Callithrix jacchus: one gene and its partners. The protein of the gene in region 1 interacts with the protein of each later gene in a biochemical or structural test. Links are inferred from orthologs where the notes say so. Each region holds a gene or a part of one and is shown on either strand. Other genes may lie near its edges.

Region 1 (4,124 bases):
AGACGGAGTTTCGCTCTTGTTACCCAGGCTGGAGTGTAATGGCACGATCTCGGCTCAAGGCAACCTCTGTCTCCTGGGTTCAGGCAATTCTCCTGCCTCAGCCTCCTGAGTAGCTGGGATTACAGGCATGCACCACCATGCCCAGCTAATTTTTTGTATTTTTAGTAGAGACAGGGTTTCACCATGTTGACCAGGATGGTCTCGATCTCTTGACCTCATGATCCACCCGCCTCGGCCTCCCAAAGTGCCGGGATTACAGGCTTGAGCCACCGTGCCCGGCTCATTTTCTGTGTTTCAATGGGCTTGTTTCCTCTGTACAATCAGATGCTTGGTTATTCTCATCTCAACGCTATTTTTTTGGCTTCCAGAAGACACATTAACACTAGGTGTGTTCTGTTCTATCCTTTAATTGGAAAGAGCTTTGATAACTGAAAAACAAGAATTATTTACCGAAGCCTCATCTTCTGCCACTCCCCCATACTCACCGGCCTCATACAGGAATTGAACTACTTAGCACTGCACAGCACACGACTTTCACGCCTCCGTTCCGCTGTACTTAGCCTCTGTACTTACGTGCCATTCCCTTTCCCTGAAATGCCCTTACTCTGGCTTCTCTGCCTGGCAAACTCCTACTCATCCCCCAAGACTCAGCTTAGACATCGCCGCATCACCTCTGTAAAGGCTCTTTTGCAATGGGCAGAGTAGCCATTCTTCTTCCATCTTTTTAGCTTTCTCAGCAAACTCCAAATAACAGTACTTATGGCATTATTTGTTTATTTTTCTCTGCTTCCCTAGACCGTAAATTCCTTAAGGACCAGGATTTCTGTTCTATATCCAGCACAGTGTTCAGCCTATATTAGGCACATAATTAAATAAATGAGTAAACAAACCCACCAATCATTCAACATTGCAGAGTTTGTACGGATTCTCAAATATTTCAAGACCTGGTCTTCTGTTTGGAGTGCTTCAGGCTGGAAACTCTCTTCCTCCCCCCAGCCCCCATCCATATCCAATTGCCTTGGTTTGGTAGAGGAGAAAAGAAAGTGATTAGACGGGGTAAGAATTTATTCCTTCAGGACTAAGCTGTTATTTACCCGCTCTGGTACCGAGAGGGTTACGGCGACCCAGGGGCGGAGCCGTGACGAGGCCACCTGCTGCGGGCGGTCTGGCGCATGCGCCCTGGGGCCTAGCTAGTCACTACCTGCCGGAGCCCGGCCCAGGAGGAGCGCTTGCGCTTTGGGCGTTTTCCGCCGGGGGAAGTCTCGCGGGGGCGGGGCGGGGCGGGGCCTCGTGGAGAAGTTCTCGCGGGACACCCACGGCGAGCGGAAGCGAGGCGGCTCTGCTGCTTCGGCGACCGGGCGGCGGCGGCGGCGGCGGCGGCGGCTGTGGCTGAGGCTGTGTCTGTGTCTGTTTCTGTGTCTGTGACCGTGACGGCGGCGGGAGCAAGCGCCGCCCTCGCGGAGCAGCCTCGGGGTCGGCGGCCGCTCTCAGCGTTGAGGTGGGTCAGGCCCGACGCGGAGCGGACTAGCTGCGCCACGGTGAGTGCGGGCGGCTGCGCTCGGCGCCGCTCCTGTGTCTCTTCCTCTCCGCTCTGCGACGGGAGTGGGCCCTGGGGGAACCGGGACCCCGGCCCTTGGGGTCGGGTCGGGGCGGCGAAGCTCGGGACGCGGAGTGGAATGCCCAAGGCTCTGGACTCTGCGTTTCCCCTTTTGGGGCGCTTCCTTCCTGGGGAACGTCCTCCTCCGGCTCTCGGCTGTCTGTGCAGTGTCCGGGAGCCCGGGGGTAGAAGTCGGGGCTCCCTCGTGAAGTCCCCTGCCTTCGTCGGAAGGGTTTGCACGAAAGGGGCCTGGGAAGCCCGGAAGGGCAAAACCCCGACTGAGTCAGTCCGCCCGATCCCGGCGGCGGGGGACTTGGTGTGGGCTGCAGCTGTGGTGATTGATGCGCCTCCGACCTGCATGACAACCACGTCACCATCTCTTGGCGTCTTTGGGCTTAATTTTGTGCGGGAATCCACGGTGGGGTAGAACGTTCATCTCCCCGGGGGAGATGTCTTTATTCTGAGACTTAAAAAAAAATTATTTGAAAAATTAAGCAGCAGCAGGTTGGACTGCACCGAGGAAACATTGCGGCGAGAGCGGGCGCTGGTAATTTTCATTTGCAGCGCGCCCTCTCTGTGATTGTAAACCACATATGAGTTATGGCTTGTTTGGAAAGTTTTTCAAGCCTGGCTTCAAAGGCTATGAAAGTGCAGTTTGCAGAGGACTGAAGTGCATTTGAGGTGTGTCTCTTCTTGATGCTGTTGACTTTCAGAAATGTCAGACACATGAGAGAAATCAGCATTAGTCCCTGGCTTTCTTAACCCCTCTTTCACTCAGTACTTCTCCAGTTATTTCCTTACCTCTCTATCTACTTCTGTCCATTCCACTAGGGACAAGAAGTGCTTGTGTAATGCAAGTCATTTGCCCCTTCCTTCCCCCACCCCCCTCTTTTTTTTTTCTAATCTACTTCCCCTTCCTCCTTGGTAGTCCCCACTCTGGCGTAATTTTTCGAGGTTTCTTCCCTTTCGCACTGTTAGTTTTCTCTGATTTCAAGATTCCGTCCTTTTTCTCGGGAAGAGATCCTCTTTCCTGCTTTGGTGCCTTTACTTTTGCGCTTTCCCCTGCGTTCGCTAGTCAGCCAGAAGGGTTGCTAGAGAGCCATTGGAGGCTGAGGTTCCCCCGCTGAGAAGGGGGTGGGGGGCTCAAAAGATTGAATTCAGCCGGGTGCGGTGGCTCCCGCCTGTAATCCCAGCACTTTGTCAAGAGATCCAGACCATCCTGGCCAACATGGTGAAATCCCGCCTGTACTAAAAATAAAAAAATTACCTGGGTGTGGTGGCGCGCGCCTGTAGTCCCAGCTACTCGAGGCTGAGGCAGAAAAATCGCTTCAACCCGGGAGACGGAGATTGCAGTGAGCTCAGATCGCACCACTGCACTTCAGCCTGGCGACAGAGCGAGACTCCGTCTCAAAAAAAAGATTGAATTAATCCCTAAGAATTCAGTCCTGCCACTAGGTTACAAGTGTGGTTTGTTTGTTGTTTTGTGTTTTAGTTTTTTAAGATTATGCTTTTGTACCTATTTATGCTTTCTTCCAGTATGTCTTTATAATAGTAAGGAATATTGGGTCAGCTCAGGGCTTATGTGACTTTTTGACTTTTAGTGGGGGGTGTTAATGTTAAAAAGTGAAGGTCAACTATAAGTCTATATTAGGTTAAAATAGTCTGAAAAATGTAAGAGGCTAGAACTGATTTAGACCATCGAATTAGTTGAAGCCTGCGCGTTGTAGTAGTACTAATTTATTCTTTGTTAGGCTTTTAGTTAAAAATCAGGGATCTTTTTTCTGCATCTATTATAACTGGCCTTCGTTGTTGTTTTTGACAAAGAAATCTCTATTTGCTCCTTCCCAAGTTCAAAATGTTCCCAATCTCAAGATTTAAAAGAGTTAATTCTTATGATCAGCTATCTCCTAGTATGTATGTATGTATGTATGTATTTATTTATTTATCTATCTGAGACGAGTCTCACTCTTGCACAGGCTGGAGTGAGTGGTGCTGAGGATCTCGGTTCACTGCAGCCTCCACCTCCTGGGTTCAAGCACTCTTGTGCCTCACCTTCCCAAGTAGCTAGGATTACAGGCTCTCACCACCACACCTGGCTAATTTTTGTATTTGGTGGAGACGGGGTTTCACCATGTTGGCCGCGCTGGTCTCGAACTCCTAACCTCAAGTGATCTGCCTGCCTCAGCCTCCCTAAGTACTGAAATTACAGGTGTGAGCTCCTGTGCGGAGCCTAAACTCAGACATTTAAATGTTTGAGGCACTTAACTTGTCAGCAAGTTATTCCGATTTGAGAGGTTTGCTGGGTTTTAAGTACTACCAGTTGCTGGTACTTAGAGATTCTTTTCAGTAATTCCTGTTATGTTGCATATTGTGCATTGGAGTTCTAATTGTTGCATAGAACAGAAGAGCAAAGGATTTTGGAGAAAGGAAGTAATACAGAATAGAGTCACCATGCTCTCCTGAGAGAAATTAATTCTTAACTGCTTAATTCAGAGGAAGTCTCCGCCATTACCAAGTGGCTTTTGAG
Region 2 (3,500 bases), on another chromosome or scaffold:
AGTGGTGCTTTGATATTTTCTTTGTCTTCTCAGTTGGAGTATTCTTAAATACTCAATGTCAGGTATATAACCACTTATCTCTCACCATCTATGGGAAAGAAGTATTAAATAGAGATAATGTATCAGTTTTGCCAGTGTTCTGTGTGTTAGTTTACTGCTTAATTTTGAGTTGTCTTTTTCTCTTACTAATGCACTATTCGAAATTTGATTTTCTTTTAATTACCAATTTGATTTTGTTTTAATTACCAATTTAATTACCAATCTTGTCTTGTGGAGACATAAAAGATACTACAATGAGTAACAGCAGTCAAAATACCTGCCAAGCCAGAAATTCACCATCCCTTTGGTGATTTTTTATTTAAAGAAGAACAAGCATGGTAGTCTTGTAGTCCCAGCTACTCGGGAGGCTGAGGCAAGAGGATCATCTGAGCCCAGGAGTTTGAGCCCAGCCTTGGGCAACGTAATGACTGTTTCTGTTGTCTGTCTCTCTCTCTGTCTCTCTCACTCTCTTTAAAGAAGAGCATGAAATTCCTAATAAGCCACAAAGGGTTAATTATATTATTCCAATATTCTTAAACAAAAAGTAATTATTTAAATAATATTGTATATATGAGATCTTAAGTTGGGTTTTTTTAGATAATTTTAGAATAGGTGGCCTTTGCAAATTTAACTAGAAATTTGAGATTTGTGTGACATTATTAATACCTCACAAAATTTATTCTTGTTACTGAGTAAAATCAACTAGCTAGTTGTATAAAATCTAGCTGCAGCCATATACCTTGTTGGGCTTAATTTTCTGCATCAAAATAATGTTTGTGTTAGATGATTTCTAAAGTGTTTTTCTGTTTACAATTTTTGTATCCTTCATCTAATGAATTTTTCCAAATTATTTTTTATGTAGTACACACATGGTCTTCTGAAGAAGCCATGGGTAGCTGTTGTAGCTGTCCAGATAAAGACACTGTCCCAGATAACCATCGGAACAAGTTTAAGGTCAGTAAAACTGGTTGAGTTGTATATCTTACTGCCTACTTGGATATTCTTCTTTTATTTCACTTAACATATCTTACTCCTGGCTTTTATCACCAAACTCTTCTATTTCCCTTTCTTTCTGCCCTGTCTTTTCTTGATTTAATAAATGATGACAACGTTTTCTTACGGTACAGAATTTTTTTCAGTTTTCCTTTGGTCCTCTGTATCTAATTAGCCATACAATTCTGGTAACGCTGTCTTTAAACTGCCATTTCACAGGGTTCCTTTTCAGTTGAATCACCATCTGTTTTTCAGTTATTATTTTCATGGGTACCTGCATGATTTTTTAACTGGACTCTTACCTCAAGTCACCCTCTGATTCATCCTGTAGTCAACATCAAATTAATCTTCTTCTTTCATCATTCACTAACCTGTTTGCCAAAACTCTGTGCTGTTATGTTACCTATAGGCTAAATGCTCCCATAGTTGTTTTGTGTCTCATAATCTGACCTCAATCTGTTATAAAGAATAGCCTTGATCACACAAACCTAGGTGTGAGTCTGTTACTTTATAAGCTTTGTGACCTCGGGCAGGCTACATTATTACTAAGTCTTACTTCCATTTTTTTGGACAATGTAGTCTAGGATTGTTATGAGGGTTAAGTGAGAAAAATTATACATATAAAACTCTTTTTTCACTCCCAGGGGAATAGTAACTTCTCCCTAAATGTTATCTACTATCTTAGTCTTTGGATGTTTTCTGAAGCTCAGCAGTCCAAAACCTTTGCTTATGTGAACTCCATGCCAATCTTATTTTGATCTCTTTGAAAGGTACTTTCTTTGTTCTACTTTAACATTGTGTCTTCATGATGTACCCTGTATCTCCTGATCCACTAGATTTCCCTTCTTATTTTATTTTGTGCATAAATTTAATTATACTAGCAGTCCAGCTAAAGGTCTTTTTCCTCTTACATGAAGGTGTCTCAACAGCCTTAGACCACAGTTCCTGCCTTCTGCAGTCTCTGTTGCATTTGTCACTTAATCATATATGTTTTGTGGTTTGTATATTTTGTTTCCTCAGTGGGAATATAAATTTCTTACAGATCTGAACTGAGTGTTACACTGCTACATAGATCATGGCTGACACACACATTATTTGATGAATGAACTAACAAATTACAAATAACTAATTAGCAACAATGCATTTTCCTGACAAATTGGTGAAATATTTGTATGACTGTTACTTTTTTTTTAGGTTATTAATGTGGATGATGATGGGAATGAGTTAGGTTCTGGCATAATGGAACTTACAGACACAGAACTGATTTTATACACCCGCAAACGTGACTCAGTAAAATGGCACTACCTCTGCCTGCGACGCTATGGCTATGACTCGAATCTCTTTTCTTTTGAAAGTGGTCGAAGGTGTCAAACTGGACAAGGTAGAACCTTTGTGTTTTTTTCCAAATATTATATTTGAAATATTGCTCTTCCAGCTATTTTATATACAAAGATTAAATTCATATTTTTTTCTCCTGAGAAAAATACCAAAATAAATAGATTGTTAAGAAAAGATATAATATACTATGTATTAATTTATCAAGTTTTTATTAAGCATATTGTCTATGCGGGAAATTTTGGCTTGTGTTAACTTCAAGATTTTTTAGTAAATGATTAGGCCTGCTAAATTGACTGTCTTTATCATTGGTTTTTTTTTTACTACCTACTACTTGAATGGCCTTGACAAGTTACAAGACTTCTGTTGAATGTTAAGTTTCTCCTCTATAAAACGGAAATGGTAATACCTATCTTATAATTACTGTAATAATTAAACAAGGTAACGATTGGAAAACACCTAGGGACTTTGCAAGGGGCCTGTTACATGGCAAATGATAACCTTGGAATGGTGAGTTAGGCTCCCCCTGCTGTTAAAAAACAGACTAGTGTAACTGTGCAGGTCTTGATTTCATTAGCTTTATTTTGGGCCATCTCCTTTGGATGAATGAAAATTATTCTGTAAATTTTTGGCAGGGGTTTGTTTTGAAACAGGGAATAATCAGTGATTTATTATATATTTATTTAAAAGGTATTTCTTACTCTTGATGCATAGAATGCTTACTTTACAATTCTGCTCTTCGTCAAGTGTTCCTATAGTTTTTTTAAAGGTATATTAACTATTTTTCCCTTTTGGTTTATATTTGTAGGAATCTTTGCCTTTAAGTGTGCCCGTGCAGAAGAATTATTTAACATGTTGCAAGAGATTATGCAAAATAATAGTATAAATGTGGTGGAAGAGCCAGTGGTAGAAAGAAATAATCATCAGACAGAATTAGAAGTCCCTAGAACACCTCGAACACCTACAAGTAGGTACCCATTTTTCCTCTCACATTTTGAGTAACAGGTGTTTAGTTCTAAGCTATAGATTATGGATATTTAATCTGTAATACACTGGAAATCACCATTGGATAACAGAAGTATAATGGTTGTCAGTTTTTAAAAACAGCTGTAATTCTAAGTATGTCAAATATT
Region 3 (4,022 bases), on another chromosome or scaffold:
CATGACTACTGTCGTCTTCCACAACCAGGGCTGGAGGCTAACACCGGCTTGGCACGGCGTCCTCGAGGACGGGAAAAGGAAGAGGCGATGGAAACGGAAACGACGTCGTTGTTGTCGTTCCAGCTCCTTGGGGGCAGTGAAGGGAAAGGCTCTCGCAGCAGCCGCCACACTTTCCGGCGGCAATGACACTTCTTCGCAGGCGCAATTGGCGCGTGCGCATTCGCTCCACTAGAGCTGGACGGACAGCGTGAGAAAAAGCCTACTGTATCCTAATGCGCAGGCGCCTCTCGTGGCGCCGGGGCGGGGCTAAGCTTTTCCCCGGCCTCACAGTCCCAGTTCCAGTGCCGGGGGCGCGGGAGCGTGCGCGCGCGAAGTCCCCGGGAAGCTGCCGGAGCGCTGGCGGCGTGCGCGCGCGTTGTATTGCGTGCGGCCATAAAGCCACCGAGCCCTGCGGGAATGCACGCCGCAGCCCTCCCTTTAGGTCATGGACAAGTTCCAAGGGAGATGCCCTCTTGCGGTCCCTCTTGCCTCAGGCCTGGGCCCCCGGTGCAGGATCCTGAGCTCTCCAGTTTCAAGTCCCGGCCCTTGGTCCCCAGCTCCAGGAGGAGGGTCCCACGAAGCTATTGTTCTCTGCAGGGCAGGGGCTGGGGTGAGGGCTCCTGGACTTCCCCGGATCGCGCCCCGTCTCCATTAGGTTCCGGTCTTGGAGATGAGGGAGAGCGTCCCAGCTGTACAGCCATGAATTATATTATGTTCAGGTTTTGTACAGTTATGTGCCATGTATGTGGAGGTATATGCCCTGGGTACATCCACATGTGTACTGTGCACACAGATAACTAGGCATATGCACGTCTACACGCCTGCGCACTGCAGAGGAGGTAACCTAAGTGCACGTTTGTGCCAGGTGAACAGGCATGAACACTGCATAGCCATCCCTGTGCAGACTTGCCGCCTTCAGGTCGTGGCCAAACCTTCAAGCACCCCGCAGAAGTTTAGCCATTCTAGGAGACGGGGGCGGGGGTTCCAAGGCACCCCTTACCCCAAGTTACGATTAAGATCATTTGCATCACATTTACATCCAGCCCCGGGCCTTGGGGGTTAAGGATGGTCCCTTGGGTCCCAAGACAAGCTGCCCCTCAGAGGCTCTCAGAGCCCAGGGGACGGGGGTGGAGCCCGTTGCACAGCCCTGCAGTGCAGCTGGGGCAGGAAGCGAGAGTGGGGTGGGGGGAGGCCACAGCCCGCGGAGGCAAGGCGGTTGCAGGGCTTCTGGGGACGGAGGGAGGTGCCAGAACTTGAGCCCTGAGGCCCTGCTGGCCCCTGGGCGCAGGCCCAGCTCCGGCCCCCAGGGATGGACCTCGTGGACCCTGACATTTTCAATAGAGACCCCCGGGACCATTACGACCTGCTGCAGCGACTGGGTGGCGGCACATATGGGGAAGTCTTTAAGGTGAGGAAGCCCCTCCATCCCCAATACCCTTAAACCAGTGACCTTTAAGGCGAGGCCTCGGTAGGGAGGAGGCTGCAAGAGGGGGGTCCCAGTCCTTGGCCTTGACTCAGGGATGCTGAGGAGAGACTCCGGCAAATGGAATCTGCCTGACTGCCAACTTCCCCTTTGCAAGGCTCGAGATAAGGTGTCGGGGGACCTGGTGGCACTGAAGATGGTGAAGATGGAGCCTGGTGAGGAGGGAACCCGGAGCTCCTTCCCCGCGTCCCCAGCTTGGCCTCCTGGGAGACTGGGATCACCTCCCGTAGCTCTCTCTGTGCAAGCTGCCTTTTCTCTCCCGCCCTCCAGACGACGATGTCTCCACCCTTCAGAAGGAAATCCTCATGTTGAAAACTTGCCGGCATGCCAACATCGTGGCCTACCATGGGAGTTATCTCTGGTGATGAACCTCAGACCCACCCTGGCACCCAGCCCAGCCCCTAACTCAGAGCCCCTGTTTCTTGATGGGGGCACCCTCAGTTCTTTTTTTTGAGACGAAGTCTTGCTCTGTTGCCCAGGCTGGAACGCAGTGGTGCCATCTCGGCTCACTGCAACCTCCACCTCCCGGGTTCAAGCATTTTTCTGCTTCAGCCTCCTGAGTAGTGGGGATTACAGGCACCCGCCACCACAGCCAGCTAATTTGTGTATTTTTAGTAGAGCAGGGTTTCACCATGTTGGCCAACCTGGTTTTGAACTCTTGTCCTCCTAATCCACCTGCCTCGGCCACCCAAAGTGCTGGGATTACAGGCATGAGCCACCGTGCCCGTCCTTGACACCCTCAGTTCTAACCTTGAACCTCCATTTCTCACCATAACCCAACTTCCCATCCTGGACCCCTATTTTTAACTGGCCTAACCCTACCCGATCCCCACTCCTAAGTCCCACTTTTCGAGCAGCCTCTAATCTCATCTCCAATCCTGAATTCACATTTCTGACCAAGAGTACACCAAACTGATCTCTTCATAACTGAATCTGAAATCAACCTCCTTGAAACCAATCTCTCGTCATTCTGCCCTTTGCTTCCCCCAGTTTCACGCTCTGCTCCTTTAATTTAAACTCCTAAATTCCCTGATCCCCAAATTAATATTCCAGATGCCCCAATAATGACCTCTGCTCCCCAGAACAGGTGTCCTGGGCCCCGCTATCCCCTCCAAACCTCCACAACCCATGAGATCTCTTCCCTGTCTCCTGGGTTGGCATGGGACGGCAGAGGGGTCCCACCTAAAGACCTAGGTTCGAGCTGAGTTGCCCACCCCCCCCACATTTCCTCTCTGAGCCTTAACTTCCTCATCTGTAAAATGGGAATGAAACAACCTCACTCTGGTAGACAGGAGAGATGGAGCTATGAGAGCTGTTGTTACATTACTGAGCTAGAACAAGACAGAGGCAAAGCAGGGGCTTTCCTGGAAATAAGAATGTAGCACTGCTCTTACTATTCTGATTCTCCAACCACTTCAGGTTGCAGAAACTCTGGATCTGCATGGAATTCTGCGGGGCTGGTTCTCTCCAGGACATCTACCAAGGTTAGAGAAGGGACAAGGGGACCCAGGCACCCCTCCCACCCCCATGCCCCCACCCCCAAATTCACCTCTTCCGTTGCTGTGTGTGTGTCTCATGGGAACTGTCTTTCTGGGCCATATTTCAAATTCCTGGGCTCAACTGATCCTCTTGCCCTGGGCTCCCAAAGTGTTGAGATTACAGGCTTGAGCCACTGTGCCTATTTTTTTTTTTTTTTTTTTTAATATAACCTCTGGGCCAGGTGCAAGGACTCACACCTATAATCCCAGCACTTTGGGAGGCCAAGATGGGCGAATCACCTGAGGTCAGGAGTTCGAGACCAGCCTGGCCAACATGGTGAAACTCTGTCTCTACTAAAAATACAAAAAATTAGCTGGGCGTGGTGGCAGATACCTGTACTCCCAGCTACTTCGGAGGCTGAGGCAGAAGAATCGCTTGAATATGGGAGGCAGAGGTTGCAGTGAGCTGAGATGGCACCACTGCACTCCAGCCTAGGCAGCAAGAGCAAATATCTGTCTCAAAAAAAAAATATATATATATATATAATATATATATATTATATAATTATATTATAATATATATATTATATAATTATATATAATATAAATATATATATATATATTATATATGGCCTCTAACTCCTTCCAGCCCTAGACCTCAAATGTTAGAAAAGGAAAGACTTCATTAAGAAGTCCTCTGGAGGGAAAGTGAGGCCCCCAGAGAGGAAATGAATCCCACAGACCTGAGCTCTGACGGCCTCTCTGTCTGTCTGTCTGTCTCTCTTCTGCCTGTCTGTTGTTCCCTCATCACCCCTCTGAGTCTCTCTCTCTCTCTCTCTCTCTCTCTCTTTCTTTTTTTATTTTGAGAATGGAGGGAGTCTCACTGTTTCACCCAGGCTGGAGTGCAGTGGCACGATCTTGGCTCACTATAACCTCCGCCTCCCAGGTTCAAGCAGTTCTACCTCAGCCTCTTGAGTAGCTGGGACTACAGATGCCAGCCACGAGGCCTGGCTAATTTTTGT
Region 4 (3,134 bases), on another chromosome or scaffold:
CAGGGGGCTGAGGTGTGAGGATCACTTGACCGCCCCCCAGGAGGTTGAGGCTGCAGTGAGCTGTGTTTGTGCCACTGCACTGCAGCCTGAGTGACATAGAAAAACTATCAAAAAACAAACAACAACAAAAAACAACCACGTTCCAATGCCCAGGTGAGGGGATTCACCCCAGCATCAGCCAGGATCACCCCATTGTTTGGGCAGCTCTGGCCTGGGGCAAGCAAGTCTGCCTGGTACCAGCGGGGCTCTCAGGGGCCAGCATGAGGTCAGTTATCGATGGGACAGTAGGGCAGATGGTTACCAGAGAACCAGGACTCGCCCCAGGCCAAGGTCACCCCTAAGCACCTCACCTCCCACTTGCAGGCAGAAAACGAGGACGGGGCCCAGGAGAACACCTTCTCCATGGACCCCCAGCTGGAGCGGCAGGTGGAGACCATTCGCAACCTGGTGGACTCGTACGTGGCCATCATCAACAAGTCCATCCGCGACCTCATGCCAAAGACCATCATGCACCTCATGATCAACAATGTGAGTGGAACACTGAAAGTGAGACGGAGGCGGCCGGGCGTGGGGCTCACGCTTAGTCCCAGCACTTTGGGAGGCTGAGGCGGGTGGATCACTTGAGGTCAGTTCAAGACCAGTCTGGCCAGCAAGGCAAAACCCCATCTGTACTAAAAATACAAAAAGTAGCCAGGCATGGTGGCACATGCCTGTAATCTCAGCTACTTGGGAAGCTGAGGCAGGAGAATCACTTGAACCCGGGAGGCGGAGGTTGCAGTCAACTGAAATCGTGCCATTGCATTCCAGCCTAGGCAACAGAGTGAGACTCCATCTCAAAAAAAAAAAAAGATGAGAAGGAGGTCAGGCATCCTGGCTCACACCTGTTTGTAGCACTTTGGGAGGCTGAGGCGAGAGGATCACTTGAGCCCAGGAGGTTGAGGCTGCAGTGAGCTGTGGTCATGCCACTGCACTCCAGCCCGAGCAACAGAGTAAGACCTTGTCTCCAACAACAGCAACAGCAACAAATCAGAACAAGTCACTACCCTTTAAACACCAGAATCTGCACGGCCAGTCTCTTTGGGAAACCCTAGGGCTTCCGAGCCATACTGGGTCCATGGTCCCATTGAGTCCACTAACTGGAACGAATACCGCAGATCTGCACCTTCTCTCAATTACTTTATGCCGGCCTCAGACTAACTGCACGAGGGAGAAATGCTATCTTCTCCATGGTGATGGGCACCTGTAATCCAGCTACTCAGGAAGCTAAGGCAGGACAGTGGCTCGAACCTGGGAGGCAGAGGTTGCAGTGAGCCGAGATCATGCCTTTGCACTCCAGCCTCGGCAACAGAGTGACACTCCATCTCAAAAAAAAAAAAAAAAAAAATGAGGCCGGGCGCGGTGGCTCACACCTATAATCCCAGCACTTTGGGAGGCCGAGACGGGTGGATCACAAGGTCAAGAGGTCGAGACCATCCTGGTCAAAATGGTAAAACCCCGTCTCTACTAAAAATACAAAAATTAGCTGGGCATGGTGGCGCGTGCCTGTAGTCCCAGCTACTCGGGAGGCTGAGGCAGGAAAATTGCTTGAACCCAGGAGTCAGAGGTTGCGGTGAGCCGAGATCGCACCATTGCACTCCAGCAACTGGGTAAAAAGAGCGAAACTCCGTCTCAAAAAAAAAAAAAAAATGAGAAGGAGGCCAGCCACCCTGGCTCACACCAGTTTGTAGTCCTGGCACTTTGGGAGGCTGAGGCAGAAGGATCGCTTGAGCCCAGGAGGTTGAGGCTGCGGGGAACTATGGTGGTGCCACTGCACTCCATTTCACAGACAGAAAACTGGAGGCCAGAGAGATAAAGTAACCTGCCCCAAGTCCCTTAGGAGAGTAGGAAGTGGGATTCAAATGCACGTTCACTCTGGTTGCAACCTTGCCTTCAGGTCGTGTCGGGCAGCTGCTGTGTCCTGATGGGCTGGGGGCGCAGCCTGTCTTCCTCATGGGCATCACCTGCCTGGCCCCAGGTTCCCTGGAGACTCTCAGGGCTCTGAGTTCCTCTTCTGTGAAATGCAGCTGTGCTGATACGATCTCCAGCTCAGGCTGCTGGAGGGTTCAGGGCATTTGTGGGTCATGCCTTTGGCATGGCACTAGCCACTCAAAAAGCTTTATAAACCAGCTTTGGGGCTGGAGCAGTGGCTCATGCCTGTAATCCCAGCACTTTGGGAGGCCAAGGCAGGTGGATCACCTGAGGTTGGGAGTTCGAGACCAGCCTGACCAACATGGTGAAACCCTGTCTCTACTAAAAATACAAAAATTAGATGGGGTGGTGGCGCACACCTATAGTCTCAGCTACTTGGAAAGTTGAGGCATAAGAATTGCTTGAACCCAGGAGATGCAGGTTGCAGTATCACCCACTGCAGCCTGGGTGATAGAGTGAGACTGTCACAAAAACATAAACAAATAAAAGTATAACAGGACTATTCTGCCAAGGTTAAGGAAATAAATAAGAAGCTAAGACAGTATCAATAGAAGAGACAAGATGCTAGGAGTAAGTTGAATAAGAATCTCATAAGCAGCCTGGGCCGCATGGTAAAGCCCCATCTACAAAACCTAGCTAAACATGGTGGTGTGCGCCTGTGGTCCCAGCTACTCAGGAGGCTGAGGCAGCAGAATTGCTTGAACCTGGGAGGCAGTGAGCCAAGATTGAGCCACTATACTCCAGCCTGGGAGACAGAGCAAGATTTCTCAAAGAAGTCTGGGGGTGGCCTCGCCCTGTGGGAGATGTATTTCCAGCAGTCATTATGGGTTCTGGGTTGGGGTGATGCAGAAGCCTGAGCCTCCCCAACCCCTGCCCGCAGACAAAGGCCTTCATCCACCATGAGCTGCTGGCCTACCTGTACTCCTCGGCGGACCAGAGCAGCCTCATGGAGGAGTCAGCCGACCAGGCGCAGCGGCGAGACGACATGCTGCGCATGTACCACGCCCTCAAGGAGGCGCTCAACATCATTGGCGACATCAGCACCAGCACCGTGTCCACGCCCGTGCCCCCGCCCGTCGACGACACCTGGCTCCAGAGCCCCAGCAGCCACAGGTCCGGGAGCCTGGTTCCCCTACCCACAAGCGTGCAGCCTGCAGGTTCTTGTT
Region 5 (4,255 bases), about 11 Mb from region 1:
AGATTTCAAGATTTGAATTCAGGTCCTCTCGGTCTCAGAGCCCTCTGTTTCTGGGGCTCTGTTCCACCAGAGGTGCCTGTCTATAAGTATGCTCAGCACAGGGAAGCAAGTTTAGAAATGCAAGTATATACCTTTAAAGAGGTGTGTGGGGGAGAACGAGAGAAAGGGATGCTAGTGTCCTTCATTCTCCAGTCCCTGATAGGTGCCTTTGATCCCTTCTTGACCATTATAGCTGTGTTCTTGGCTGGGGCATTCCAACTAGAACTGCCAGATTTAGCACATAAAAATAAGGAGGCCCAGATAAATTTGAATTTCAGATAAACAGTGAATAATTTGTTAGTATAAATATATCTCATGCAATATCTTGTTGAAATTTCCAAAAAAAAAAAAAGTCTTCCTTCTATCCCCATAGGGTCAGAGGCTCCAAGTAGAATGTAGTTGGGAAGTGGAATTAAGCAGGCTACTAGAAGGCAAGGGGCAAAGAAGAAACCTTGCAGGCATGGGTGCTGGGTGCCTCCTTAAATAAGCAAGAAGGATGTACTTTGAAGAACTAAGATAGAAGTCCTCGGCTGGGCGCAGTGGCTCACACTTGTAATCCCAGTACTTTGGGAGGCCAAGGTGGGCAGACCATCTGAGGTCAGGAGTTCGAGACCAGCCTGACCAAAACGGAGAAACCTCGTCTCTACTAAAAATACAAAACTAGATGGGCATTGTGGCGCATGCCTGTAATCCCAGCTACTTGGGAAGCTGAGGCGGGGAATCGCTTGAACTCAGAAGGTGGAGCTTTTGGTGAGCCAAGACTGAGCCATTGCACTCCAGTTTGGGCAACAAGAGCGAAACTCCGACTCAAAGAAAAAAGAAGTCCTTGCGATATGACTATCTCCTCCCAGATTTGTAGACCCCCTTGAGACCGTGATTTTCAGACTGGAGAAGGTACTTCAAAGATTCCAGAAGATATGCCCGGGGGTCCTGGAAGCCACAAGGCAAACACAACACATCCTCCTCCTTGACTATTAATTTTACTAGAGGATGTGGTGGAAAAACATTATTTGATTTTAAAACAAATAGGCTTGGGATGAGTAGGACGCCAGCTTCCTAGGAATGTTTAAGATAAAATCTGCGACTTAAAAGAGCATGAAGAGTGACAGCCTAGGGAATTTGTCCTGGACTCTGGGGGAGGGGGCAGAATCACCAGCCTCTGCAGTTAGGGATTCTCCGAGGAAAATTGAGAGCGGCTGCAGGCAACCCAAGCGTCCCGGCGCTGGGAGGGACGCACCCAGGCCTGCGCGGAGAGAGGGAGAAAGTGAAGCTGGGAGTTGCCACTCCCAGACTTGTTGGAATGCAGTTGGAGGGGGCGAGCTGGGAGCGCGCTTGCTCCCAATCACAGGAGGAGGAGGAGGTGGAGGAGGAGGGCTGCTTGAGGAAGTATAAGAATGAAGTTGTGGAGCTGAGATTCCCCTCCTTCGGGACCCGAGAGACCAGGGGAGCCCCCCCCGGGCAGCTGCGCGCCCCTTCCCACGGGGCCCTTTCCGGCGCTGCGCGCCCGGCCTCCACCCCTCGCCGCACCCCGCGCCCCGCGCTTCCCCAGCCGGGTCCAGTCGGAGCCATGGGGCCAGAGCCGCAGTGAGCACCATGGAGCTGGCGGCCTGGTGCCGCTGGGGGCTCCTCTTCGCCCTCTTGCCCCCCGGAGCCGCGGGCACCCAAGGTGGGTCTGGTGTGGGGAGGGGACGGAGCAGCGGCGGGACCCTGCCGCCTGGATCCCCCTCCGAGGTCCACCCGCCCGCGGGGCCAGAGGGGCCCGGACGAACTCTAACATCCCGAAGTTGCGGACGGTCCAGACGCTCAGGGCAGCCGGGCCCTCGGGCCGGAGGGGGCAGTTACACGGCAGCGGCTCGAGATGGCCCATTCCAGATACTGGCTCTTTCCAGGCTCCCAGGGGGATCCGGGAGCTTGTCAAAGAAGTTCTCTGAAATTGTTTAGAAACTTTTCCCGCAATGGGTGTATTGCATAGAGCGTGAGGGAGTGTTTCCCCCCTTCTCGAGCCCCCTCAAGCTTTCTCAAAGCCTTTCCAGTTGGCAGCCTCCGCCTCCGGACTGGCCTGGGCTGGATTCCTTGGGGGGGATCCTCTGCCCTGTCCCTCCCCACTCCCCTTCAGACGATTTTGGTTTGGTTGCTCCTGCTTCTGGCTGGGTCGGTTGTGTGTGTGTGTGTGTGTGTGTGTGTGTGTGTGGTGGGGTGACGGGGTGGGATAGCAACCTGTCCCAAACATAGCCGGGGAGGAAAGGGTGGCCCAGAGGGTGGCCTCTTGCTGGGGTCTGGGTTGGGGGCGGGGGAGACGTTTGCTTTGAACAGATTCTTAGGGCCAGCCTGGGAACTGTGCTCTGTGACTTTTGGAGTGTGTGGACCATGGAGGGGTGGTGATGGGTTTCTTGGGGTATAAAGTGGGAGAGTTCCCAGGGAAGGAAGCTAAGAAATACCGGCCAGATGGAGGCCTAGAGAGGGCTGTGTGGTTCTGCCGCCTTTTCCTTGGTGCTGTGCTTGGGGAAGGCTGAGTGGGGGCAGTGTGTATCCTGACCCATCTGTCCACCTGTGTGCATTAATCATAAAAGCTAACATATAGCCTGGGCCAGGTATACTCTGCCAGGAACTGTGTGTGGCATTTTGCATGCACTCTCCTTTAATCCTAGAACACCTCTACAGTGGAAGGTTTGCCAGCATTCTGGACTTAAAGAAGTTGTGTAGCAGGAGGTAAATGGTGGGGTCAAGATGGGACCCCAGGCAGTGCGACCCCCAACCATGCATTCGAAATCACTGTATGAATGAATGCACCTGGAGCAATGAGGGACGCTGTTCCCTGAATCACTGGGTTGTAGGAGAGACAGAATGAAAGTGTTCTGGGAGTTGTGGGTGGTCCCTATAGGTCAGGGGGTCTGGGGAGGGGTGGGCGTCATCGTGTCTGTGCTGCCCGAGGGGCCCTCTGTGAGTGAGTATATGGCTGTGTTATCTCTGCGTGTCTGTGCTAGGCTGTCCCTGAGTTGTGTGGTCTTTGTGATTGTGTTGCCAAACAGCAGCTCCTCTGCTGACTTGGGGACACAGTCTGAACTCTGTCCTCTCCAGGAACTCCCTCAAGGTGCTGGGCCAGATATGCAATAAACAGAGGGAGTAGCCTTCTGTGGCCACACCTTCTTGCGGAGGAAGAAGGCTCCTCTCTTCCAGGGAGTTCATCCTTGCCCTCCCTGTTTCCCAGACAGGCATCTTCACCTCTCACCTTCTGATGAGAAGGGTGAGGCCAGGCTGGGCTGTCAGGCTGAGCTGCTGCCCTTCTTCACCTTGGGCTGAGAGTTGATCAAGGAATAGCAGCTGCTGCAGAGCTGGATTTCAGGGCTGGGTTCTCTGGATGGGGCCTCCTCATGTCCTCACCCCTCAACCTGCACTATTGATTGTGTTGTGCAGGAGATGGTTAAAAAGGCATTGCACAGCCTGGGCAACATGGCAAAACTTTTTCAGTACAAAAATACAAAAATTGGCTGGATGTGGTGACACATGCCTGTAGTCCCAGCTACTCTGGAGGCTGAGGCAGGAGGATCACCTGAGCTCAGGAAGTTGAGGCTGCAGTGAGTGATCACAACTGCATTCCAGCTTGGGCGACAGAGTGAGACCCTGTTTCAGAAAAAAGAATTCACCACCCATTTGCGTCTGGCACCCAGATTTTACTCAAGGGCTGAGGGCTGGGGCAGGAATGTGGGGGAAGGGAAGGCCTAGAGAGAGCCCCAGAGGGGTCAGGATTTTGCTGAGATCCTTTCTTAGAGGTGTGGATTTTTGCACACTGCAGCAAGTACACCCTTTAAATCTTGCAGCACTCCTTCATATTTTAATTCCAGTATGATTTTTCCAAGAGCCTCCTCTCTTTACCGTACTTGGGGAAAGTACTCATTTTATTTGGGAAAAAAAAAAGGAAAATATAAGGATTAAATGTAAAAAGAAAAAATATGTGACATTCCAAAGTCAAACATGAAGCACTTCTAATTTTCTCATGGTTTATTACCCATATTCCTGCTGTATGAACCTGTCTTGCCTTAACTTTGAAGAAATGTACGGTGTACTTCTATAGGCCAGGTTTTTATCCATGGTTTCATTTATAACAGTCCAGTGAAGTAGATGCACAGATGAGACTATGGAAGTTCAGAGAAATGAAGCAACTTATCCAAGGCTCCCAGCTACCCAGTAATGTCCAGGGCATTTTTGGGCTCTGATG
Region 6 (4,041 bases), on another chromosome or scaffold:
CCTTCCTGGGCACCGCCATCTTCATTGAGGGCGACCGCCGGCGGGCGCAGCTGCACATGCAGGGTCAGTTAGGGGCTGTCCTCTGCCCAGCTTCTTGATCTGCCTGTCTGTCCGTCCATCTGTCTGCCCACTTCTGTGCACCTGGTGGCTCAGTCCACAGTTTTCTCCTCGTGTCTGCGTCTACCCCTTGGGCAGCTCTGTGACTGCCCCATCCATTTCCCGCTGCCTGTTTGCCCTTCTTTGGCTTTGTCTGTCCATCCGGTTCACCCTGGCTCTGACCCTCCCTCTGCAGGCTTGCTGCGCGAGGCAGGGCCCACAGATGACCGGATCGTGGTGCCCCAGCGGGGCCGCTCCACCCGGGTGCCTGTGGCCAGCGTGCTCATCTGAGAGGCCGCCGCTTGCCTGCCTGCACATCTGCCGCAGCTGGCCCTGGGTCCACCCCACAAGGGGCCTGGGCCTAACCCCTTGGCCTGACCCAGCTTCCAGAGGGACCCTGGGCCGTATCCCAGCTCCCAGACACTACATGGGCAGCTCAGGGGAGGAGGTGGGGGTACAGGAAGGGGATCCCCCTCCACAGGGGCAGCCCCAGGGGCTCGGTGCTATTTGTTATGGAATAAAATTTGTAGCCAGACCCCAGGTGCCTGCTCTTGTCTTTCTCTGGGTGACCTCTGATCTTGCGTCCCGTCTTCACCCCAGGGCTCCTGAAGACTGTGGGTCACCCCTTGGGGCTCTGAGTGAGTCTCTGCCCTTCTGGTCTGGGTGACTGAGAGCGGAGACTGCTGTCCTCTGTGTGAGCTGGCTTGGTGTGACTGTGAGTCACGCCCCTGCTTCCCCGGAGCCTGCCCCTTGCCTCTCAGGACTGGCTGAGGTGGGGGTGGGCACTGCCTTCTGCACCCCAGAATTCCTGCTGTCAGGGCCTCCCCGCTTGCTGCCTCCCCAGGCCCTGGATGTGGAGGCCGTGGCTGCCAGCCAGCAGGTGGCTGTCCCATTCCTGGGGGCCCAAAGACCCCTGGTGAGAGCCTGGGGTGGCTCCCGGGCCTCCTCCTGCCCCCTCCCCAGTGGCAGGGTGGAGTGGGAAGGGGGCGGGTACAGCCGACTGAGAGCTCGATGATTTCCTGCCCTCGCCTGGTGCTCACCACAGCTTCCTGCCGCAGGCAGGCGGGTGGGCAGGCACAGGGAGAGGCGGGCGCTGAGGAGGGGCGGGTAGGGCTGGGACACGGGTGGCTGGGTCCCCCAACTTCAGTCTGGGCCCTGGTCTGACCACCCGGGGAGCAGAGACTTCCCACAGCCAGCTGGACGCCCACTCAGCCCAGAAAAAGAGGGGACCCATCCAGGGAGCCCCGGGGAGGGAACTGCCGCCTCCTCCTGGGCTCCCACGCCACCTGCTGCCTACCTGCCCCCTGCTTGGTCCGATCTTCACCCAGTCCTCACCTGGTCCTCACCCTGTCCTTGCCTGGCCTTGGCTCTGCCCTTGAGGGGCCTGTGGGGTAAGCCGGCCTGCTCCGAGCTCCCCTGCAGATGGAGGAGACCATCCTGGTCCCCTGCGTGCTGGGCCTCCTGCTGCTGCCCATCCTGGCCGTTTTGATGGCGCTGTGTGTCCACTGTCACAGGCTGCCAGGTGAGTGGGAATGGTGGGGTGCCTGGGGCCTGGGCACAGTGACGGTATCCTCACCACTCCCAGCCCCTGCGTCTGTCCTGGCTCTGGCCCTGCCTCCGTTCCAATCCCAGTGTCTCTGAGAGCCCCTGGACTCCCCACACCTTCTGCCCTCAGCACCCCGTGTTCCTGCCTTAGCAGCCCTCTCTTTCCCAGGCTCCTATGACAGCACCTCCTCAGATAGGTGAGTCTGCCCTGGCTGCCCTGGGTCTCCCTCCACTCCCCACGGTGGGGCAGGACTGGGGCCTCTCCCAGCCCCAGCCCCAAGCTGTGTCTTTTTTACCAGTTTGTATCCAAGGGGCATCCAGATCAAACGACCTTGTGAGTACATTGAGGGTCCCCTACCTCCAGTGTCGGGGAGAGGGTCCCCTGGTGTAGGAGTGTGTGTGAACCTTCCCTCAGCCCCTGCCACCCTGGGGCTGCCCACATGGCCTTGACCTGAGCTGGGAGAGGGGAGATGGCACCCCCAGGCCTGTCCAAGGTGCACCGGTTTCAGGAGCTTAGTCTGTTCTTTGAGGCCTTGACGATGTCTGGAGTCCTTCTTTCAACTTGGTTCTGTGTCCTCAGACACACTCGCCCCCAGGCCGCCCACCTACCCACCTGTCACCTCCTACCCACCCCTGAGCCAGCCAGACCTGCTTCCCATCCCGTGAGTAGCTGCTCCCCTACCCCTCCAAACGCCCCTCCACCCCCTCACTTTCTTGGATTGGTAGCCCCTTTCCCTTTTGCAACTGCCATTGCCCCCTGAGCCCCACCTCAGCCATGACCCCTGACCTTTGACTCCCAGAAGATCCCCACAGCCCCCCGGGGGCTCCCACCGGATGCCATCTTCCCGGCGGGACTCAGATGGTGGTAAGTGTGGGGAAGGGCCGAGGAGGCTGGGGCCGGGAAGAAGATCGTCCTGGCCTGAGCTGACTCAGTCTCCCTCTCTCCCTGTCTCTGAAGCCAACAGCGTGCCGAGCTATGAGAACGAGGGTGCGTCTGGGATCCGAGGTGCCCGGGCTGTGGGGGGAGGCTGGGGCCTGTCCTGGGCTAGGCTGACCCCTGTGTTGTTACCCCCAGAACCAGCCTGTGAGGATGCGGATGAGGATGAGGATGAGGATGACTATCACAACCCGGGCTACCTGTGAGTGGCCAGGTGGGAGGTGGGAGGTGGGGGCTCAGGCTGGGCCTGAGCTCACCAGCCCGTTTCACTTCCTTTCAGGGTGGTGCTTCCCGACAGTGCCCCGGCTGCTAGCACTGCCGCCCCACCAGCTCCTGCGCTCAGCACTTCTGGCCTTCGAGACAGCGCCTTCTCCAGTGAGTCGGGCATTTGTTTTTATTTTTTAATTATTTTAGGGACAGGCTGGAGTGCAGTGATGCCATCGTAGTTTGCTGCAGCCTCGAACTTCTGGGCTCCAGTGATTCTCCCAAGTAGGCTACTCGGTCAGCCTCAGCCTCCCAAGTGGCTGAGACCACAGGCGCATACCACCACACCTAGCTTATTTAAAACAATTTTTTGTAGAGACAGGGTCTCGGTATGTTGCTCAGGCTGGCCTTGAACTCCTGGGCTCAAGTGATCCTCCCATCTCAGCCTCCCAAAGTGCTGGGATTACAGGCATGAGCCACCGTGTCCAGGCCTGTTCTTCTGATTTTCTTAACTTTCTCTCTCCTCTTTCCTACCTTACTGTCCTTTCCTTATATCATCTGGGAGATTTCCTTGACTTTATTCTTCAACCCTTCCACTGCAATTTCATTTATCCTGTCCAGAAACTCTTTCTTGTTTTCTGACTGTTCTTTTTTTATAGCCTCCTGTTCTTGTTTCATGGAGGCAATACCATCTTATACATCTCTAAGGATATTAATTAGAAGCTGGTGTGTGTGTGTGTGTGTGTGTGTGTATGTGTGTGTGTGTGTGTGTGTGTGTGTGTGTGTTTTCTTCTGCTCCCTGCACTGCCCGGTTTCCTTTGAGCTGTTTTTCTTCCTTCCTTCTGGTCTCATCCTGCCTGGTCATATCCTCTGGGCTTTCCTCAATGTCCAGCGTTCTTTAGTTTTCTGTTGCTTTGCTCTCTCTGTATATACTTGTCCTGGGCTATCAATTCTACACCCTGGCCTTGTTTGCCATCCAGATTCCTAGTTTGCTCTCTTCTGAACTCCAGACTCTCCAAGTACTTCATTCATTCATTCATTTATTCATTCATTCCTTCAGAGTTTACTGCGGTGCCCTCTACTGGGCTAATGCTATGAATGTAACAGTTCAGGGGGCAGACTGTTCTGATAAAATAGCTGGCTGGGTGTGGTGGCTCACTCCTGTAATCCCAGCACTTTGGGAGGCCGAGGAGGGAGGATTGCTTGAGTCCAGGAATTCAAGAGTAGCCTGAGCAATATGGCAAAGCCTTATCTCCACA
Region 7 (2,717 bases), on another chromosome or scaffold:
TAATTATAAGAACTCACCTGTGAATACTGCATGTCTGAGACACAGGTGACATTCAATAAATATTTGTTGAGCTAAACTCATTTTACTAGTTATAAATTATCCTCATGGAATTAATCCTTGATACTGTATATAAAGAAAAAGTCTACTGTTAATTTTTAAGAAAGGTTTCCCTTACAAATCAATTCCAAAAATTTTTTTTAAAAACAAAACCTCGACAAAACAAGTCAGCAAATCTGGCAAAAAAAAAAAAAAATGTTGTTCAATAATCCAGCTAAAATAAGCTCTCCTATGTTAAGTACAGATAGGTAAGTCAAATGTTGTTGGCTCTTGATTGCTGGAATTGTCTCTGAACCATCATCAAATCCAGCTTACTTTAAAGTAGCAATCATAAAATAATTCTATAGAAAAGTGATGCACTATTTCACTAAAATGTTACCCTTAACATAAAATGCAGTTTCTTACACTTGAAAGAAAAGATAAAAGAAGACAAAACAGCTCAGTTTAATTTCAAACGTTAATATATTTTCTATTTTATACTGAACATATGCATCTGTAACCCCTCATTTGCAGCAACTCTCACATCCTCATAAAAGGGGCAAAATTTGTAAGATGCCTCTTAAAATAAATATTCTTTTTTATAAAATAATAAAACTTCAAATAAATAGTCTTTACACTAAACAATATGTTGAAAAAATTAGAAAATAAAGGTTGAATTTTACTGTAACTGTACAATATACATGAAGTCCAAAGGGAAATCAGAGTCTTACAATAAAGGCTTTCTGTAAGGCAAAATACAATCTAAAAACATACTGATTGATTCACATTCTTCCGAATGTACAACATATTAGTATAATATTTTGTGACTGTGCCATGTAGTATGGCACAACTTGTTTTTCACAGTTGCAAATATTATTGTATATACAAAAATATAGCACATTCTCTCTGGAGAAAACAATGGAAAAAAGTCATCTGCTAATTTACAAGTTTTGCAAGTACTATTCACAAACAAAAACTTTGCCTAGGAGTGTGTGTGTGTTGCTTCAGCTTATGCAATACATGGGTCACCAAGTTCTGTATCTCATACTTTGAGCTCCATTAGCTGAGTTCTAACAAGCCTATCAGTTAAAATGGCACATGGACAGAAAGCATTTCACCGCAAACAGCAAAGACTATCCCAACTCTCTATGAACAGTGCCAAGATTATAACTGTTTAGTTGGTTGCATATGTGTGTTAAAAAAAGAAAGAAAAAAATCCTCATTACTGTAATATTCCTGATTAATGATGCTATGTTGGTTTTTCAAAGTTCCTGGGGGGGACAGTGGGAACTTTGCAGCAAACTGTGTTTGAGTTTTTACAACGGCATCCAGGCCTGTTAACACGGTCATAACACCCCTGGCACAATTTAAGGCAACCCTTGGCTGGAAGGTAACACCATAAACAAGGCAAAAAGAGGGACATGACACCCATGGCTGACCATCGTGTACAACAGTGAGACTGGCTGCAAGAACACGGGTTGTCAGCACAGTTGTCCTCATCATCATTAGAACAGTGATAGAAGAGACCTTTCACACAGCATACACAAGTCCCATAGTCAATCACGTTCTGGGCCGAGCAAAGGCACTGCTTGTCGCAGATCCAGTCTGATGGCAGAGGCCTTGGGTAGGTGCACTCCTTACATTTGCACTTGCCACAGTCCTCACACCTGTAGGCGTGCAGGCCCAAATCTTCCTTGCTTAGTGGCTTAAGCTCACTTGGCTTGAGCTCAGATTTGGGTTGCACCCGGATGATCCCATCGGCCACAGGCCCAGAGGAGAAGGATGATCCTAGCAGTCTCTGTTCAGAGGAGCTGCTGCTGGTACTTGTCCTCGTACTGCTCCGCGACCCTGAGCTGACCGTGCTTATGGATCTGGACAGAGGGGTTCGTGCAGAAGAATGAACCTGCGAGTGCTGGAGCCTAGGAGGCTGGCGGTGCTCGGGCAGACCGTGGAGTCTCTCGTGTTTGTGCTGAGTGGAGGGGCGCGGAGCATGCTTGAGCCCAGGTCTTGGGACGACAGTAGGCCCCTCTGTGTACTCATTGGTGTTTCGGATGGCTCTGATCTGATCCAGAGACAAGACATGTACTTGCTGGGTGAGGGTGTCTCTAGGGTCGGGCTCTCCACGCTGTCTGCCACCGTCACGGGGCGTCTGCAGCAAGGGCTGCGACCCGTTGCCACTCTGAGCTCTGGCCTCCATCAGGTTTTGGAAGTGTGGTCACTCCAGCAGGCTTAGAACACATCTGAACTCCTGAGGAAGCCAAGAGGAAAGAACGGTTTATACTCTAAGATCCTTCCCACTCTCCGCCCACCTGAATTCACTCCTCACTTCCCACTTTCCCTAGAGAAACAGGATTTGAAATGGAATGACAGTGGGGAGGTATTAGCCATATGATCAATGACGCATGTACCCAAGTGAAAATTATGGCTGGCTACTGACAATTCTGTAATCCCGTGATGTACAACAACACAAAGCTGATCTTTGTTTTAGTCACTTAAGTAAGAATTCCTTATTCAAATAAACATACAGTTTGCAAGGTTCAGGTTCAATGTAAAAATCGCAAGAAAGTTTTGCTGGAATATAACACTGCTACCAACGTTTTCAGAAGTTGAAAATTCTTTCAAAATGTGAAATAGGTTTCCATTTCTCATGGTCGTTTCGCCTTAAGCATTAATAATGTAGC

Evidence for each region.
Region 2: the proteins of GRB2 (region 1) and FRS2 form a complex in vitro, tested with the Homo sapiens proteins (2 studies listed by BioGRID, with this or other methods). The link is inferred for Callithrix jacchus from reciprocal best matches to the Homo sapiens genes GRB2 and FRS2.
Region 3: the proteins of GRB2 (region 1) and MAP4K1 form a complex in vitro, tested with the Homo sapiens proteins (3 studies listed by BioGRID). The link is inferred for Callithrix jacchus from reciprocal best matches to the Homo sapiens genes GRB2 and MAP4K1.
Region 4: the proteins of GRB2 (region 1) and DNM2 form a complex in vitro, tested with the Homo sapiens proteins (3 studies listed by BioGRID and IntAct, with this or other methods). The link is inferred for Callithrix jacchus from reciprocal best matches to the Homo sapiens genes GRB2 and DNM2.
Region 5: the proteins of GRB2 (region 1) and ERBB2 form a complex in vitro, tested with the Homo sapiens proteins (4 studies listed by BioGRID and IntAct, with this or other methods). The link is inferred for Callithrix jacchus from reciprocal best matches to the Homo sapiens genes GRB2 and ERBB2.
Region 6: the proteins of GRB2 (region 1) and LAT form a complex in vitro, tested with the Homo sapiens proteins (3 studies listed by BioGRID and IntAct, with this or other methods). The link is inferred for Callithrix jacchus from reciprocal best matches to the Homo sapiens genes GRB2 and LAT.
Region 7: the proteins of GRB2 (region 1) and SPRY2 form a complex in vitro, tested with the Homo sapiens proteins (2 studies listed by BioGRID and IntAct, with this or other methods). The link is inferred for Callithrix jacchus from reciprocal best matches to the Homo sapiens genes GRB2 and SPRY2.

The regions. Positions count from the first base shown.
Region 1 is NC_133506.1:131,303,794-131,307,917, reverse strand, and holds the start of GRB2 (growth factor receptor-bound protein 2), read left to right. Parts: upstream 1-1,324; 5' UTR 1,325-1,538; intron 1,539-4,124. UniProt on the Homo sapiens protein: Non-enzymatic adapter protein that plays a pivotal role in precisely regulated signaling cascades from cell surface receptors to cellular responses, including signaling transduction and gene expression.
Region 2 is NC_133510.1:72,118,454-72,121,953, forward strand, and holds part of FRS2 (fibroblast growth factor receptor substrate 2), read left to right. Parts: exon of another isoform or gene 1-531; intron 532-895; exon of another isoform or gene 896-901; 5' UTR 902-927; coding exon 928-993; exon of another isoform or gene 994-1,802; intron 1,803-2,226; coding exon 2,227-2,413; intron 2,414-3,175; coding exon 3,176-3,334; intron 3,335-3,500. UniProt on the Homo sapiens protein: Adapter protein that links activated FGR and NGF receptors to downstream signaling pathways.
Region 3 is NC_133523.1:34,195,093-34,199,114, reverse strand, and holds the start of MAP4K1 (mitogen-activated protein kinase kinase kinase kinase 1), read left to right. Parts: upstream 1-1,222; 5' UTR 1,223-1,348; coding exon 1,349-1,447; intron 1,448-1,619; coding exon 1,620-1,677; intron 1,678-1,792; coding exon 1,793-1,883; intron 1,884-2,941; coding exon 2,942-3,006; intron 3,007-4,022. Other genes in the region: EIF3K (eukaryotic translation initiation factor 3 subunit K), read right to left, coding at 1-3. UniProt on the Homo sapiens protein: Serine/threonine-protein kinase, which plays a role in the response to environmental stress. Appears to act upstream of the JUN N-terminal pathway.
Region 4 is NC_133523.1:9,992,234-9,995,367, forward strand, and holds part of DNM2 (dynamin-2), read left to right. Parts: intron 1-363; coding exon 364-528; intron 529-2,848; coding exon 2,849-3,081; intron 3,082-3,134. UniProt on the Homo sapiens protein: Catalyzes the hydrolysis of GTP and utilizes this energy to mediate vesicle scission at plasma membrane during endocytosis and filament remodeling at many actin structures during organization of the actin cytoskeleton.
Region 5 is NC_133506.1:120,159,730-120,163,984, forward strand, and holds the start of ERBB2 (receptor tyrosine-protein kinase erbB-2), read left to right. Parts: upstream 1-1,455; 5' UTR 1,456-1,632; coding exon 1,633-1,705; intron 1,706-4,255. UniProt on the Homo sapiens protein: Protein tyrosine kinase that is part of several cell surface receptor complexes, but that apparently needs a coreceptor for ligand binding. Essential component of a neuregulin-receptor complex, although neuregulins do not interact with it alone.
Region 6 is NC_133513.1:28,976,691-28,980,731, reverse strand, and holds the start of LAT (linker for activation of T-cells family member 1), read left to right. Parts: upstream 1-1,241; 5' UTR 1,242-1,518; coding exon 1,519-1,618; intron 1,619-1,810; coding exon 1,811-1,838; intron 1,839-1,940; coding exon 1,941-1,975; intron 1,976-2,221; coding exon 2,222-2,303; intron 2,304-2,441; coding exon 2,442-2,629; coding exon of another isoform or gene 2,630-2,716; coding exon 2,717-2,780; intron 2,781-2,858; coding exon 2,859-2,953; intron 2,954-4,041. Other genes in the region: SPNS1 (protein spinster homolog 1), read left to right, coding at 293-763. UniProt on the Homo sapiens protein: Required for TCR (T-cell antigen receptor)- and pre-TCR-mediated signaling, both in mature T-cells and during their development.
Region 7 is NC_133502.1:34,892,466-34,895,182, reverse strand, and holds the end of SPRY2 (protein sprouty homolog 2), read right to left. Parts: intron 2,285-2,717; 5' UTR 2,234-2,284; coding exon 1,286-2,233; 3' UTR 501-1,285; downstream 1-500.